Linked DNA regions of Lonchura striata. The protein of the gene in region 1 interacts with the protein of each later gene in a pairwise test. Links are inferred from orthologs where the notes say so. Each region holds a gene or a part of one and is shown in the gene's direction. Other genes may lie near its edges.

Evidence for each region.
Region 2: the proteins of CDCA7L (region 1) and CTNNBL1 interact in binary tests that used the Homo sapiens proteins (3 or more experiments, as listed by UniProt). The link is inferred for Lonchura striata from reciprocal best matches to the Homo sapiens genes CDCA7L and CTNNBL1.

The regions. Positions count from the first base shown.
Region 1 is NC_134603.1:125,523,377-125,531,502, forward strand, and holds the start of CDCA7L (cell division cycle-associated 7-like protein), read left to right. Parts: upstream 1-5,002; 5' UTR 5,003-5,003; coding exon 5,004-5,060; intron 5,061-8,126. UniProt on the Homo sapiens protein: Plays a role in transcriptional regulation as a repressor that inhibits monoamine oxidase A (MAOA) activity and gene expression by binding to the promoter.
Region 2 is NC_134619.1:8,136,102-8,143,302, reverse strand, and holds the start of CTNNBL1 (beta-catenin-like protein 1), read left to right. Parts: upstream 1-4,066; 5' UTR 4,067-4,180; coding exon 4,181-4,210; intron 4,211-7,201. UniProt on the Homo sapiens protein: Component of the PRP19-CDC5L complex that forms an integral part of the spliceosome and is required for activating pre-mRNA splicing.

The DNA.
Region 1 (8,126 bases):
AGCAGTATAGTGATGGAAAGGAAAATGCATGGGAGGAAGCCTGAAGCTGATGTTCATCTACCTTGTGAGTATAGCTGGCTGCCAAATTAGAGAATGGAAAAGGGAAGTGGACTCTAATCCTGGCTCATCTCCTTTGTGACTGACTAGCAACAAAATACTGTTTTCAATATAAAACGTCAAAAATGAATTTTCAGCAATACAAGCTTTATTGGCACACTGCCCCCCCGCCCCCCCCCCCCCCCCCCCCTTTTTGCAGGAATTTTAAGGGAATGATGGGAGAGCATGGGGAAAGCTGTCTTAGACAGCATTCAGGTGACTACTGCAAAAGAATAACCTGTGGCTTCATTTTCAGTTGGCAGTGTAAGATCACCCAAGCCCTCAACCTCACCCACAAGCCAATTTGTTGCAACAATCACCATGTGTAAGGAAAGGTTTTGAGATGAGTGGGTGGAAATCAAGGTAGCAGGAACATTTGTGCTTTTGTTGTTCTGTCAAATACCACCCACAACCCACTGTTGGAGCACAAACCTTCACCACCAACATAGTCCTCCATGCCAGCTTTTGAAAATACTCTGAAAATTTACCTTAGCCAGGTTGAAAGAACAGTAGTTTTTTGTATATAAGGTAAAGTATGTTTCTGGGTTTTGGTAATGGAATACATAATATTAAAAATTGGGTTCAAGTTAAGGCAATTCTGTGTCTCTACCTTTTTGTAGACATCTTTGAGAAGAGTGTTTTGTCATGAACACCATTCATGGTAGCAATTGTGTGTGTATTCATACAGCTGTTAGAAACTAACCCAGAAAATATCAAAGCACCAGAAATAGTGATGGAAGATGCCAATGAGTTAATAGTCAGGGACACAGCTCCTGGACAAGCGTGACCACAAGTAAATCTTAGAGTTGTTGTTTTATTCTATGCCTTCTGCGATGGTGATTTGCCCTGCACAGCAGAACAGATCTTGGCCTTTCTTTTTCACTTACTAGAGGATTTGCAGAGCAGGAAAAGAAGATTACAATTCCTCTCAGCAGAAAGTAATCCTTTTAAGTTAGGTATGTCAGCATTCATTGAGAAGTGTGGGAAAGTGCATGCTATTTAAAATGCTTGACAGGTCTTAGAGAAGTGTGGTGGCAGGAAGATAGGAGTAAAGCTCCCAGTTGTGATTACAATGGCCCCCAAATTGTAGACTGTTAGAGCGAGCAGTGAAAGCAGAGTTCAGCAGCAAGGATTGATTTTGATGTTCAACCAGCTTGGTAAATTCATGGCAGTAAAGTCCAAAATGATAAACTAGAGTGGTATTGTTAATTTGAAACTCACAGGAAACAAATTTTCTGTTTACATGGCCACTTTAGAGAGGTGTTGGTGCTGTCCTGTAATTTTACAGTGCATCATGTTGTTACTGAGTATCCCATAAATTAATGGATCTGCTATACCTGATGCATATTTTGACTAGCTCATAATTCCTTTAGTACACATTTGTTCTCTTTGGAAATTTCAGTCTGATTATAATAGTCATACTGAGCCCAAGACAGAGCTCATTGTTATGAGTTTCATTGTATAGTTTTGAGCACGAAGAGTTGGACTGAGACATTATCAGCAATGCTCTCACTATTCTGGGTCCAGTCATTGCAAAATAATTCAGGCTTAATATATAAAGCTGAAGTTGAAAAGTATCAGGAATTCAGCTAAACCTCATCTGAGCAGATGATGAGATCCTACTGACAAGGCAATAACACAAAAACTGTTGTGGGTTAGAAAAAAGAACTTGGAAATAATATGACAAGAGGCAAAGAAAATGGACAGGAATTCAGTGATGGAAAATTCACACTGAGAAGTATTTGAGCTACAGCCACAGAAAAATTAAACTAACAAAATTTTAAACCCCCCCACACTTCTAATAAGGCAGCATAAAGAACAATAACTGACAAGAAGGACTTGAAATGCTGAGAAGGAGAATGAATGTGAAAGTACAAAATGAAATGGAAAGTTAGGGGAGAAAAAGAGAAACAAAGCCAAAACAACAAATTGCATAAAACAGCTGAAAATATCAGACAGTTCATAATGTATTTGTAACAGCATAATAGCTGTACATCTCTATTGTAAGAGAATTCAATTTTATTCACTCTAATTTAGTACAGGACAGTCAATACAGCCATTTCAAATCTGTTGTTCGCAATCCAAGACAGCATGTTGACAGCTTTTAACAAAGTGCTTCATAATGTAGACTGCTGGGGACTAGGGAAAGAACCAAGCCCAGGATCAGCAGTGGAGGACATAATATACAAGCTTTTCAGGAATGTATTGCACAAGAGATCTTTATTATTTTGTCTTTTAAGAAGTCTGCATTTCAATTTTACTGATATTATACATAATTCCCACATTTTGTCTTCTACTGAATGCCCTTCTCCCCACCTCATGCCCAAACCTTCTTATTTCTGCGCCCTGAGTGGTAGCAGCAGGTGCTTCAGTAGTGGATATTGCAATGCAAACCAGTGTTTAAATGGCCTGCTTTGGCTAAATGCTTCTTTGTTTGCTTGTAACAACTTCCTTCACATTCTTAACAAATACCTTCCATATGGCTGGAATATAAAGGTTTGGAAATACTTAAATGGGTAGCCCACCATGTGTTACACTGAGGATCATATGCAATGGTACATGGAGAGGCTCTGGGAAGAGCTCATCCATCCTTCACTTTCCAGAAAAATGTTACTTTCCTCTAACTTTTATTTTAAGTCAATATTTACAGTGGAGTGTTTAAAATACCTAGTCAGATCGGGGAACTCATCAGAGTAGGCAGACTGCACTGTGCATTTTGAAGTGCTCCCCTAAATTAAAAAAGACATAATGCTTTTAAGTCTCTGTCATCCAGAAGGTACTGAAACAGTTGAAACAATCTGAATTTATTTTTAACATGGCAACTCACAGTTGTGTCTGAAGGTAAGCTACAGAATAACACACTTTGTTCCTCTGATTTGCTTTTACCAATTCAAAAACTATAAAGGTAGTTTTTATGGGTTTATTTCAGCCAGATTACATGGGCAAGTGAATTTCTTGCTGTTCTATTCCACTATCCAGACTAGAGGGCTTGTGGAAGACACCAGACAGAAACCTGGGTGTGAAACATACCCTGAGACCTGATACTGAGATTCCTCCAGTTCAGACATAGTCATCAATTCTTCCCCTGTTTTCTCAAATCCCATAAGGAGAATGGCACACATACTTTCCTTTTTTAGTACTGCAAACACTGAGATACTTCACTGCTGATCCCAAGAGAGCTCTTTCCCTCTGAGCCACCTACAGAGTCCATCCTTTTGAGATGGATGATGAACAGCTGGCAATAGCCCCATCAGAGAACGTGGTGGGGGTGCCATGCTGACAAGATAGAGAATGTCCCTTCAAGGGAGAAATACGCAGCTGCAAGGGTGCGAAAAGGGAAGAGAACTTCATAAAATGTGTCCTGATGAGGGGACTTGCAACTGTAGTGGAAAGTGTATCCTTCTATTATCAAAGTTGCATCAGGAAAACATTGTCTCAACAGTTTTCTGCTGGACCTGCTTCACATTCCATTGGGCAAGGGAATATTCACAGTGCCAGTGGGACAGGGGGAAGCTGAGTACAGATCTCCACCCCACCCAACCAGACAACTTTGGGAGCAACTCTCTCCTCAAAGGGTAGATTTTCTCACTGAATTATTGGGTAATCATAATACAAAGTACATAATCTAGTAACAATCCCCTTGATTAAAAAGGGACACATAAAACATTGTTAAGTTTTTAATAAAAATTAAACCTCTTAATTGAGGAATAGAGGTTATTCAGAAAAAACTAGAAAAAATAGTTTGCCTGGTTTTGTATTCATCTTTCTGCTAGCTGCACAGTGGAAAAAATAATGATATAGGAACTTGTGTGGAGGAAAAGTGCTTTAAAATTTGATATATTAGGGTTTTTTTCCCCAATTACATTTTTCTGATTAGATTTATTTTCCAGGATTTGTGATATTTTGAAATTTGAACTGTTGACTTGCTGTTTCAAGGAACCAGTTCTGCTAGCCATTCCTTTCAACTTCAGATTTCACTTTCACAGTAAAGTTAAAGGCTGTTGAATTGGGAACCTGGGGAATGCATTGAAAGTCCGCCTGTACTTGGCACTGGTGAGGTCACACCTCTAAGCCTGTTTTCAGTTTTGGGCTCCTCATTACAAGAAAGGCATGGAGAGTGTCCAGAGAAGGGCAGTTGAGCTGGAGAAGGGTCTGGTAAAAGATCTGGTGCACAAGTCTGATCAGGAGCAGCTGAGGAAGTTGGTGTTGTTTATTCCAGAGAAAAGATGGCTCAGGAGGACACCTTATTATTCTCTACAAATGCCTGAAAGGAAGGTGTAAGGAGATAGGGGATGGTCTCAAGTAATAGGACAAGAAGAAATGGCCTGAGATTCTGCCAGGGAAGGTTTCTTCACTTAAAGAGTGGTCAGGCATTGGAACAGGCTTCCCCTAGAAGTGGTGTAATCGTTATCCCTCAAAGTGTTTAGAAATCATTTGGATGTGGCTCTTGGGGACATGGCTTAGTGGTGAATGTGCAGTGCTGAACTAATGATTGGACTTTACTATTTTGATTCGAAAGTGACATCATTCCCCCTCTGCGCCCTCCCCTCCATTTTTTTTCCCAGAGGATTTCAAGAGGCTTACACTTCCCGCCTGTATTGCGTAAATAAACATTTTCAGTTATTTGGAGGATGAAAGCCTATTTCCTTCCAAAGCCTGCCTCTTTCAGACGAACAGCTGCCGCCCAGCGAAAAGCGTGCAGGAAAGAACGGACGATGCGGAGTGCCCACGGGACCCGCAGCAGCATCCGAACAGCACTGCCCATCCCGAGGCAGGCCACGCGGAGTGCCCCGTCCCTCCACCCGCTTTCCCGCCGCTGCCGGGCGGCTCCACCCCGCCACCGCCCCGCGCCCCTCCTCCCTGCTCCTTCCTCCTCCTCCTCCTCGGCCCGCGGCGGCGGGGCGGCCATGGCGCGGCGCGGCCGGCGGCGGCGGCGGGCAGCGGCGGCGGGGACCCGCGGCAAGGTGAGGGGCCCGCGGGCTGGCGGAGCGGGGCCGGGCGGCGGGGACAGCGAGCCGGCCCGCAGCTTCCCGCCTGCCCGGGGCAGCGGCGGCCTTTGTCCGCTGCCCGCGGCGTGAGGGGTCGGAGGAGCTGCCCGGCAGCGCCGGCGAGTGACCGCCAGTGGCGGGGCGGCTCCCCGGCGCGCCCGCAGCGCCGCCGCCGCAGCGCGCTGGCCGGGACACCGGGCGGCCCGCGCTCCCGCCGGGAGCCATCCACGTGGCGCGGCGGCTCCGCGCTTGTAAAAGGCCGGGAACGGGGTGGGAGCCGCCCTCGGGGCGGCCCTCAGGCACTCCGCAGCGGCGTGGGGCAGCTGCAGCTGTGCTGGGACTTGTAGCGGCTCTAATAACGGCTGGAGTGGATCACTGAGAATTAATTAGTTGTGAGCCTGGGGATACCACTTTAGAAACGGCTAATACATTTATTTAATTCTAGCCTATTTTACTTTTTTTCCTTTTTTTCTTTTGAAATGCCGCGATGCCAATGCTGGCAGATACTTGAGTCGCCTGAGAGGCATGCTTCCATCGGCTGTGGTCTTGTCCAAGCCTGGTAGCACATGCTTGGGTGCATCAGGCTGATTGTGTGGTTCAGATCTTGGGAGGTCGTATGGCTGTAGAATCGTAGAATACTTTGGATTGGAAGGGACTTTATCTAGTCAACCTCCGTGAATGACCATTGTCATCTTAAAACTAGATCATGTTGCTCAGAGCCCCATCCAACCTGACTTAAATGTTTTCAGGGGTGCAGCATCTTATCAACTCTTCAGACAGCTTGTTCCAGTGTTTTACCATTCTTATACGTAGTCTAAATTGACGGTTTAAGTCGTGGTGAACTTCCCGGGTGATGTGAAGGAGTGAGGAGAAGCTGAGCATCTCATTCAGCTCTTGCCAATGGAAATTTAGAGTTTTACAAGGGTTTCTGTGGAACTGGAGTGTAATAGAGCCACTGGAATATTTATCAGAACCTCTGTCCTTGCAGAGACCTTCCACCTCTGTATGACCTCAGCCCCTTCATTGGCAGTGTGAAGATAAGGCCACTATAAAACAGTTTGGGATAACCCTGTTTGACTACAGACACAAATGGCACTCGATTCTCACCTCTCGTGCTGTAACACGAGACTCTTACTGTCTACTAGTTCCCTTTCTGGTACACAGCTAAAGGCTGCACATCATCTTTCTTTAAAGGCTCAGCAAAGGGCAGAAGGACAGGGTCTGTTCTTGGTACTTTCCTATTTCTCATGGGAGTTTATTTTTGACTGAGCACAGCCTTCTGCTGGCTCCGCTTTGTCTTTGTGATACATTAGTGGGCAGTGAGTTCAATCCTGGCTGGGCCAGAAGGATGTGGTATGAAGGTTTCTTTGCCTCCGAAGTCACGGACCGTCAGCAGTGACGGGCAGATTGGCTTGTGAGTACATGCCCCCATTCAAAAACAATTGCCGAAGATGTCAGCAGTACAAAACTGTTTTGAATTGCAAGACCTGCAGTTCCACTTCCTGTCCCGGGGTCTGATTTACCAGGTTCTGGCACAGCAATTTCAATACTCAGAGCTTGTTAAAGGGGTGCTGGCTGTGACTTTGTGTTTGCACCCACAAGGCCTGAACTCAAGTCCTAGATTTGAACAGTCCAGGCACAAAGCGAGGGTACATTGTGGTATTGTACAAAAGTGTTTTCCTTGAAACACCGGGGCTGGGACAGTAATTAGGCATCACCATGGGATACTCTTGAATTATGCAGAATTAATTCAGAAATAGTTGTTACAACTGTTAGGATTGGTGAGAGATTAGATGGTGCAAAGGAAAAAATAGTAGCAGTTGATAGTGTTTGGATTGTGTTCATATGCTGGCATGCTGATACAGTGCTACCAGCATTTTTGAAGAGTAGGAAATAGTTTCCAGGAAGGTACTGCCTATGGAAGGTGACATTTTAAATTACTTGCCATGTGATTATGATAATTAGGAATTCCTTATTTTAGGACAAAGTAGCTTTATGGACATTAGCTTATTATCAGTCTAAATAAGGCAATATAGAAACTGTATTCGGCTGGCTGTTCTGAAAACAGCTGAATTTACCAAAATTTCATGGACCACTAGGTTTACTGGTGTGAAAATTGGAAAATTGCCAGAATCTTTTGACGGGGTACCCTCAAAGTCCCAGGAGTTGTTGCTGTGACAGATTAAAGGCTCAGGCATAATCCATCTTTACTTTAGAATGGAATTATTCCTGCAAAGATCATAAAAGTAGGTGATGACTGCTTGTTCTATCTGTTGTTCCTTCTTCTTTCAGAACACTCACTTGCTTTCCATCTCCTACCACTTATGCCAGGAATACAATTCACTGTCCAGGGGATTTCAGCTTCTTGTGCTTTAGTGATGTAGAGAAATTTTGGAGGTCATCTGCGATCTTCCTTGCCTTCCTAGATCTTGTTGATGCCCATGAGTCTCCGGCTGATTGTGTGGTTGACAGTCTTTTCAACCATGCATCCAATCTGTGTAATTCTTTTGTACTGTAGTATGGGGCTTTGTATCTCTGTGCTTTCCATGTCTTTCACATGTTTGTATGTTACTTAATTTTAAGCTTTTAGAATGCTGTTTGCTTTTGTGACTCCAATGGAAAAATCAGGATCTTGACTTCTGAGTAGTTCTGGTTTATTGGTCTGGCAACTATTGACGTTCTGTCTGGGCCCCTCTATTCTTGTAGTGCTGCCCACAATTGTCAGCCTTGGAGTGCTTCCCTGTTCGGTTGTTCCTTTGAGGTATGAGCCAAATGCAGTGCCCTTGGGTGGTGTGCCTTAGGCTGGCTTCTGGACTGAACCTGGGACAACAACAAAAAAAGTCAAGAGGCTTTCCAGCACGTAGTGAAGGTGTGGCTTTGCACAGGTTTGGTTTGTGTGAGTATCTGCTTGGGATTAATCTTTGGTTATTTCAGTCTGACTGAGTTTGAACATGACTGAATTTTCTGTCCTCTACTTTGAGTAGGAATGCCCATACATTGTTTTAAATTGAATTAAGGGAACACAGCCCAATTGACTTTTTT
Region 2 (7,201 bases), on another chromosome or scaffold:
GAGTTTATGTCAGGGAAGTAGAGCCATAAATAAGGTGCTGCTTCAGCACCCAGCCTCCAACTGTACCAGGACAGTGAATGGCACTGCCACAGGTGGGGAGCAGGGACAGCCTGACCACAGGCATCCTCTCCCCTTGCACCTTCCTCTTCCCTCCCCACTCCAGCCCCATCTACCCTCAGCTCAGTGCCTGGCTTCTCACAGCCTGATTTCACAGGTCAGCAACCTTCAATTTCCTGGGCCCATCCCCACCCCTCCCACCAAATGCTTCACAGGTTCATGAAAATCTCATTAACCATAACACCACAGCTGGGTTCCTGTGCTGGCACTGGAGCCCTCCAGCTCCTGCTGTGCTGTGCCCTGGCATCCAGCACCACGGGACCCCAGGACCAAGCACACAGGGATCCTGGCCAGGAGCTGTGCCAGGCTTTCAGGGTGGGAAGGTGGCACTGGAGAGGGAGGGCACAGGCTGTGTTTTGCTCCATGCTTACAGCTTCACAGCCCCAGCTCAGCTGCTATGGTGCTGTGGGGCTGGAATGGGTGTCATAGTCAGACTGGGGAGGTGGCAGCTCTCAGGGCTACCCCAATGCCTCCAGCTCGGGCAAGCAGCACACAACCCTGATAAGGGGCCTGTCCTCTCCCTCCTGGGGCCTGGGGAGGGCATCTCCCAGCAGCTTTTGAGTAATTAAGAAGCGGGAAGGGATTCAGGCAGCTCCCTTCGGCATGGAGCTGGCACAGTAGTGCCGGGCGAGCTCAGGAAAGGTTACACCATTTGCATTTTACCCTTCAGTAATTCCAACACTTACGGGTGCAATTAAGCAGCAGCCTGGTGTTATGAAGCTATCAGGGCGGAGAGACCTGAATTCCAACGATCTCCGTGTGCGTGCCTGTCCCAGACTGCTCCATCTGTCTGCGGTGACACCGCGCGATGCCGGTGGGTCACAGGGACGGGCTGTGATTCCATCTGATGAACATTTTTCCCTTGCTGGCACCCAGTTTTGGTGCTCTCGGAGGCTGAGCACACGGAGGGGAGTGAGTGTTGGGATGGTGGAGCAGGTCCAGGCTTGTGCCATACTCGTCACTACAATAAAGCATCTGATCTGACGGTGCCTCGAAAGAACAGCCCCTGGCCTGCTTTGTTTGGTGTGTGACCCCCTGATGTGGCAGGGCTGGATGGACCACGATGCCTGTGGATTCTCTGCCGTGGAACAGGGTCTCCTCAATGTTCAGCAGCCCCTACCCTCTGTGGGAGGATGGGGGCTCTGTGGCCATTCTCCTTTCCTGCTTCAGTGGGACAGCAGGCTGGGAGAACTGCTGCCTTTCCCTTTAAGCATCATCCCTGCTTAATTCGATGGTTTTGAGTCCCGGCTCATGATTTCTGCAGCAATTTGGGCTGAGATTTCTCTCTTTCCCTCCATTATCCACTCTGATTAACTCAGCTGGCCCTGTCAGCTCCCATTCCGGCGCGGGAGCCCTGTGAGAGCCTGTTAAAATGCATGAGCCTGTGGCAGTCGCTCCACTGCCCAGCGAGGCTGAACTGAGGGAGGGGGCTGCAGGCAGCAGGGTGGTGGGGCTGGGGACTGTGGGGGTCCAGGGACAGGGTGCAGGTGCTGTGGGGGTGCCAGTGTCCCCCTCTGTCAGTATGGGGGTGTCCTGGCCAGAGTTGAGCCAGGGGGAGACCCTGTGGGGTGCAGGACCCAGTCCCCCCCACATGCCAGGCTGTTGGGCAGCTGAATCTTCCCCCATGCAAAGGCTCGTTTCCCATTGCAGCTCTGACTTGTTCCCTTTTTCTCATTTTAATAAAGACGAAAGCATCCGGAAACGCGGCTGCACCCGCCAAAGAGCGAGATCTGACATAATTAAAAAGTGGCTTCAATCAGGCTGTTTTCCTAATGGTTTGTCATATCAGCCCGCACGGCCCTGCACCCCCTGTGCTCCCAACCCCCTGAGGCATCATTTACATTTCTTAATAACCCCTCATTAATATTCATGACGTGGGGAGGGTAATAACGGCTGAGTGCACACCACTAATTCAATTTCAGCGAGCCTCTGTGTGTTTAGTTAATCACTGGGGGACCTGGGTTACTCAGTACAATTATTTATTCGGAATTAGATCTCGAGGCATCTGGATTGAAACCTGAACTCGGAATAAAATTAAACCAGGATTCTCCTCCTCTCCTCCTCCTCCCACCTTCGCTCCTATCCATGGTTCTGAGCATCCCCTGCAGCCCTGCTTTGCTGGGATGAGGATCTGGCGTTTCCATGCTGAGACCATTGCATAAGCCTCACCTGCAGCTGCTGCTGGGTCCTGGCTCCTCTGTGCCCCTCCAGGGAAAAGTGTCAGCAAAGGCCTGGGGACATGGTCAGCCCTGAGGGTGGCACCCCACTGCCTGTGGAAGTCAGGAGTCCTTGTTCTCCTGACCAAGCCAAGTCCCAGGGTTTGCTCCAGCCTATCCAGAGCCTTCAGCCTCTTATCCAGCTTTGTTGCATGTTCCACCTGGGAGAGGCTGGTGCCAGCCCCAGCACCACTCAGCTTCTCGTCTCCATCCTTCATTTATTTGAGAGCTTTTTTAATACTTTGGTTTTGCTCCTGGTTTTGCTTTTTAATTCAGTATTTTGTCCCTGTGCTCCAACTCACCTTATTGGATAAAAATTCTGTTATTGCATCCTGCCCTGTAGGACTGGATGAGAACTGAGCGGTGCCTCAGTTCTTCAAATTCCTGCTTTTGTTTTTTTGAGTGATCCCCCGACCTTTGAGTCCTGTCAGGGAGGTGAATTGAACATTTTCCATCCCTTTTTTCATCGAGGCGAACGCTCTGGCTGTGCTCAGGTTGGGGCTCTGCTTGTCAGTGATGATTTTTGGCTTCCCCCAGCTCCTCCCAGAGCTGCTCCACTCAGTGGGAATGAGGTGCAAGGGAAGCCCTGGGGCAGGAGCAGCTCACCATATTCTGTGTCTGTGGGTGGTCAGTCCTTATCCCCAGTGCTCTCCATGTGTATGCTACACCTGCTTTTTGTGGTTATCCCTGGGTGGGGGGGGGTCAAGCTTCCCAGTAGCTGAATCCTGTTCCTAGTATGTGCCAGTACCCCTCAAGGGTCTCAAATTGTGCAGGTTTCACAGCTGGGGAATTATCTGAGCACTCAATATCCCAAAGCCAGATGAGCTAATAATTATCTTCTATTTATCTCATCTTTAACATGCAGATTTGTTGAGTTAATTTTGCCATGACCGATCTCCTATATTTTCTTGAAACAACAGGGGACGCGAGGGACTCCTTCAAAAACATTATATATTTTTTTAATTTTCTGAGATTCCTCAAACCAGACTCCCGCTGAGATAACTGCGTAAGAGCTGCGATCATTATAAAAAAATTATTTTAGCTCAAAACTGTTTTTTTTTTTTAAAGCATAGCTGCAATAAATTCAGTAGGATTTTGGCCGAGTTGCCTCTCTCCTAATTATTCTTATTTGTTAAATTGAGAAACGCCTCAGTCTGTGCGGGGTTCTGCATCTTGTGGAATTGCAGGGCGGCTTGTCACCAGCTCGGCAAGCGGAGGGGCCGCCGCTGCCGCGCTGGGAGCCGGCTCCCGGCGTGTTTCACGGTGACAACGGCTCCCGAGGGGCTGGGAGCGGCAACAACCGCGGCAGCCTTTGGAGGTGGTGGGAACGTGCCACAAAAGAACGCCGATCCCGCGGGCCCGGCGGTGCGGGGCGTCGCCTCCCCCGCCGTGACAGCGGCGCCCGGCCCGGGGCACAGCGGGGACGGCAGCGCCGGGGCCCGCCTCGCCCGTGGCGAGCGCCCCTGTCCCCGGTGGTGTGTCACGCTCTCGGCCTCTCCCCGCCCTGCGGCACCGGGGAGGCACCGGGGAGGCACCGGGGAGGCACCGGGGAGCCCCCGAGCCGCGCCCCGGGCCCCGCCGGCGGCCCCTCTCCCCTTCGCGACAGCGCCGCGCTGCTTTACGGCAGTGTGGCGCCTCCCCGTCTCTCCCTCCCCGGCACGGCGTCCACCGCCTCGCTTTCCGGCAGTGTGGCCCCTCCCCGCCTCTCCCCGGCACGGCGCCCACCGCCTCGCTTTCCGGCAGTGTGGCGCCCCCGCCGCCCGGCCTGCGCTGCCTGCCTTACGGCAGGTGTCGCGCGGTCCCGGTGGTTTGCGACAGGCTCCCGGTGGCGGGGCCCGGTGGGTGCGATGGACGTGGGGGAGCTGCTCAGCTACCAGGTGAGCTCGGGGGGCTGCGCCCTGCTGCGGGTGCCGCGGTGCCCTGCGCTCCCGTGGCCCCGCTGCGGCGGCAGCGATGCTGCTCCAGCTCCGGTGCGGCCGCGGGCCCGGGGCGGCCGCCGTGCGGGGGTCACCGGCCCCACTCGGTGCACGGGGTCTGGTGAAAGTGTCGCTAAGTTCTGGGGGTCTCTCCCCTTCTTGTGCGCGGCGGTGCCCGGTAGGAGCGGGTTCCCGGGGCTCGGCAGCGTCGCCGGTCTCGTTTCGGCACAGATCGGTGCCCGCCGGGGCTGCAGCGAGGCCTCTCCTCCTTCCGTGGCTGTTCCAGCGTCTCTTTCTCCCTGTTGTACGACAAAACCTTTTCAATTTCATTTTTTATCAAAATACGTTTTTAAAAGTTTTCTTTATAGAAGTTTTCCTTTACTGGGTGCGTTTCGTTCCCTCGCCCTGCGTTCACTGGTGGCTCGCTGTGTGCAGGTACCGAGTTTTGATTTATTGTCCCAGGAGCAGATTTCCCTGTGGAACAGGGAATGAGGGTTGGAACTGCAGGAACATTTGGATACCTTGGCTGGGATAATGCCGGGCTTGGCTTCAGTTCTCAGCCCGGCTGCAGCCGTGGCGTTTCCCTGGGTGAGGAGAACACCCCGAGGCGGTGTAAGAGTGGCCAGGTGTGCTCCCGAGCTGAGAGCGCAGAATTCCTGGTGGAACTCGGTGCCCTCCTGCTGTGCCTCATTCCGTGGGGCACAGAGATGAAGTGAAGGGGGTGTCTTGCTGTTCACTCCATGTTTGTGCTTTGGGAATGCGTTCTTTGGAGATGCTCAGGGAAAAAAGACAAGTTGCTGTTGGGTTTGAGAAGTTTCTCAGCAGTTTTCCCAATGGTATTGAAGTTTCTGGGGCAGTCTGAGAGCTCCACTGGATTCTTCCTTGATAATCTCCAGGATGTTTCCTTCTGTGGATTGCTCTGTCTCAAACATCCTTCCACACCCTGCTGCATCCAACAGCACAGCTCTGCTGGTCTAAGGTCTACTCCACTTCTGTATTTCCCTATCTTCTTCAAATGTGATTTTTCAACATCAAATTAGAATTTTCATTCCTTACATTCCTTTGAGTCTTTGGCCTCCTCCACCCCATCTGGGGCTTAACAATGCCATCCCTTACATGTCTGGGATGCAGGTTAAGACACAGAAGTTTAACAGGTAAACCTGAATGAATTTTCTCATTTTTTAGCCAAGTTCCAGTTTGGGGTTTTGTTGGTTGTTTTTTCTCTTGCTCTCAGAATGTGAGCTCCCCAAGGTTCCCTCCACTCTGGAGGGGAGTGTCCATTCACTTTGCTTTGCTCACTTGGATTTTGTGCAGCTTTCCCTTGGATGAGCTTTCAGCACGGTCAGGGGGTGATTGCTTGTGACAGTGGGGGCTCTATTCTGTCGAGGTAAAGAAATGCTGCTTAGCTGCAGGGTATCTAAATTTTAATTTCATTTCTTGCTGCTAAAATTGTTCTTAGCTGTGGGGAAAAGCATTCTGCAGCTTTCAGCCAGCTGCTGAAATAGTTCCTGAAGGATTTGTCCTGGCTCTGTGTGCTCCTGGGCAGCACAGCTGAATGCAGGTGCTTCTTGTGTCACTAGCTGAGGTGGTGCTTTAGTGAGCTTTGGAAGCCAGTGGTGTTGAATTTAGACCTCCAGAACTGGGGCAGTGGTGAGTACAGGTGAAAGAAGTGGAGGAGCAGAAGGCAGGCAAATAGCTCTGCTTCTGAGAAAATGAGATTCCCTTCTGTGAGGGCATTTCCTGCTGAGAGGTGGGGAAAAATAGTTGGAAGCAGCAGATTTCACTGCCTCCCATCCTGTGGGTCAGGCTCTGCCTTTGGGGAGGGTGGCTTGAAGAAGATGGCCAGGGGAGGGTGGCTTGTCAGCTCACCCAGCAGCTCCTGGCCCACTCCAGCCCTGGATTTGGGAGCTTCCCTGCTCTGGGCTGGCTCAAGGTCTCCTTGGCTGTCCTTATCGAGGGATGGTACCGGCTGTCGGGGAGGTGGAGTGGTGCCTCAGCTCTCTGATTTTAATCTCTTGCTGCAAATGAGTTGGTCTTCTCAACCTCCCTCAGCACAACCCAAAATAATTGCTTTCCTCTTACACTATTTTGAATTTTCTCCTCTAAATGTGTAATCTGTGCCCTTGCTTCAGCAAGAAGATGTTCTCCCTCAGAGCCAAACTTGGCGTGGAAGACTGCAGGCACCGTGCCACCAATTCAGCACCAAGTGTCTGCCAGAACAGGAAAAGAAACCTCTTGCAACAAAAAATACAATTAAACAGCACCTGGCCATTTATACAAAGCTCAGGAATCCATAAACTTTACGTGTTGCTGCAAAACAGTTGCAGATGGTCTAAAGTGATGATTAAATATTGCTGCTGTTTGCCCAGATCCTCCGTGTTTGGTCTCTGATTACAGAGGGTAATTAAGAGGATAAAGCCAACTCCGGGGCTATTCAGAGTCTTCTTTCAGTTGTCTTGGGAGGGAATAAGGGACATTATTTGAATTCTCATTAAAGGCAGATTTCACCACCGTGGGTGATCATTGCAAAGCGCTGATTTTTTGCTGGAATGTCAGTAAAATCAAGTAGCAGAAGAAGCAGTGAGGGATGGGGTGAGATGTGCCTCCACCCGCTGGGCCATCTCCCCGTGCTCTGTCGGGGCTGAGGGCGGTGTGTGCAGGGATGGATCTCTGTGCATCCACGGGGGCACATCATCATTTCTGCTGCTGGTACGGATAATTTGCTGTCAATTTGCAATGTAATGGATGCATCTGATGGTAGGGGCAGCTCAGCTGAGCTGGTTGTTGACTGCTCACAGAATTATTATCCCAGTAGCTGCTCTCCTGGCGGCAGTTAAAAAAAGGAGCCGACATTGGCTCAGCTGTCTGCCTCATCCCTTGGCTCTGCTCCTGGAGTACAGCCCCATGCTGCCAGAGCTGGCTTGGTGCTCTCACAGGGTGGCAAGTCAATCT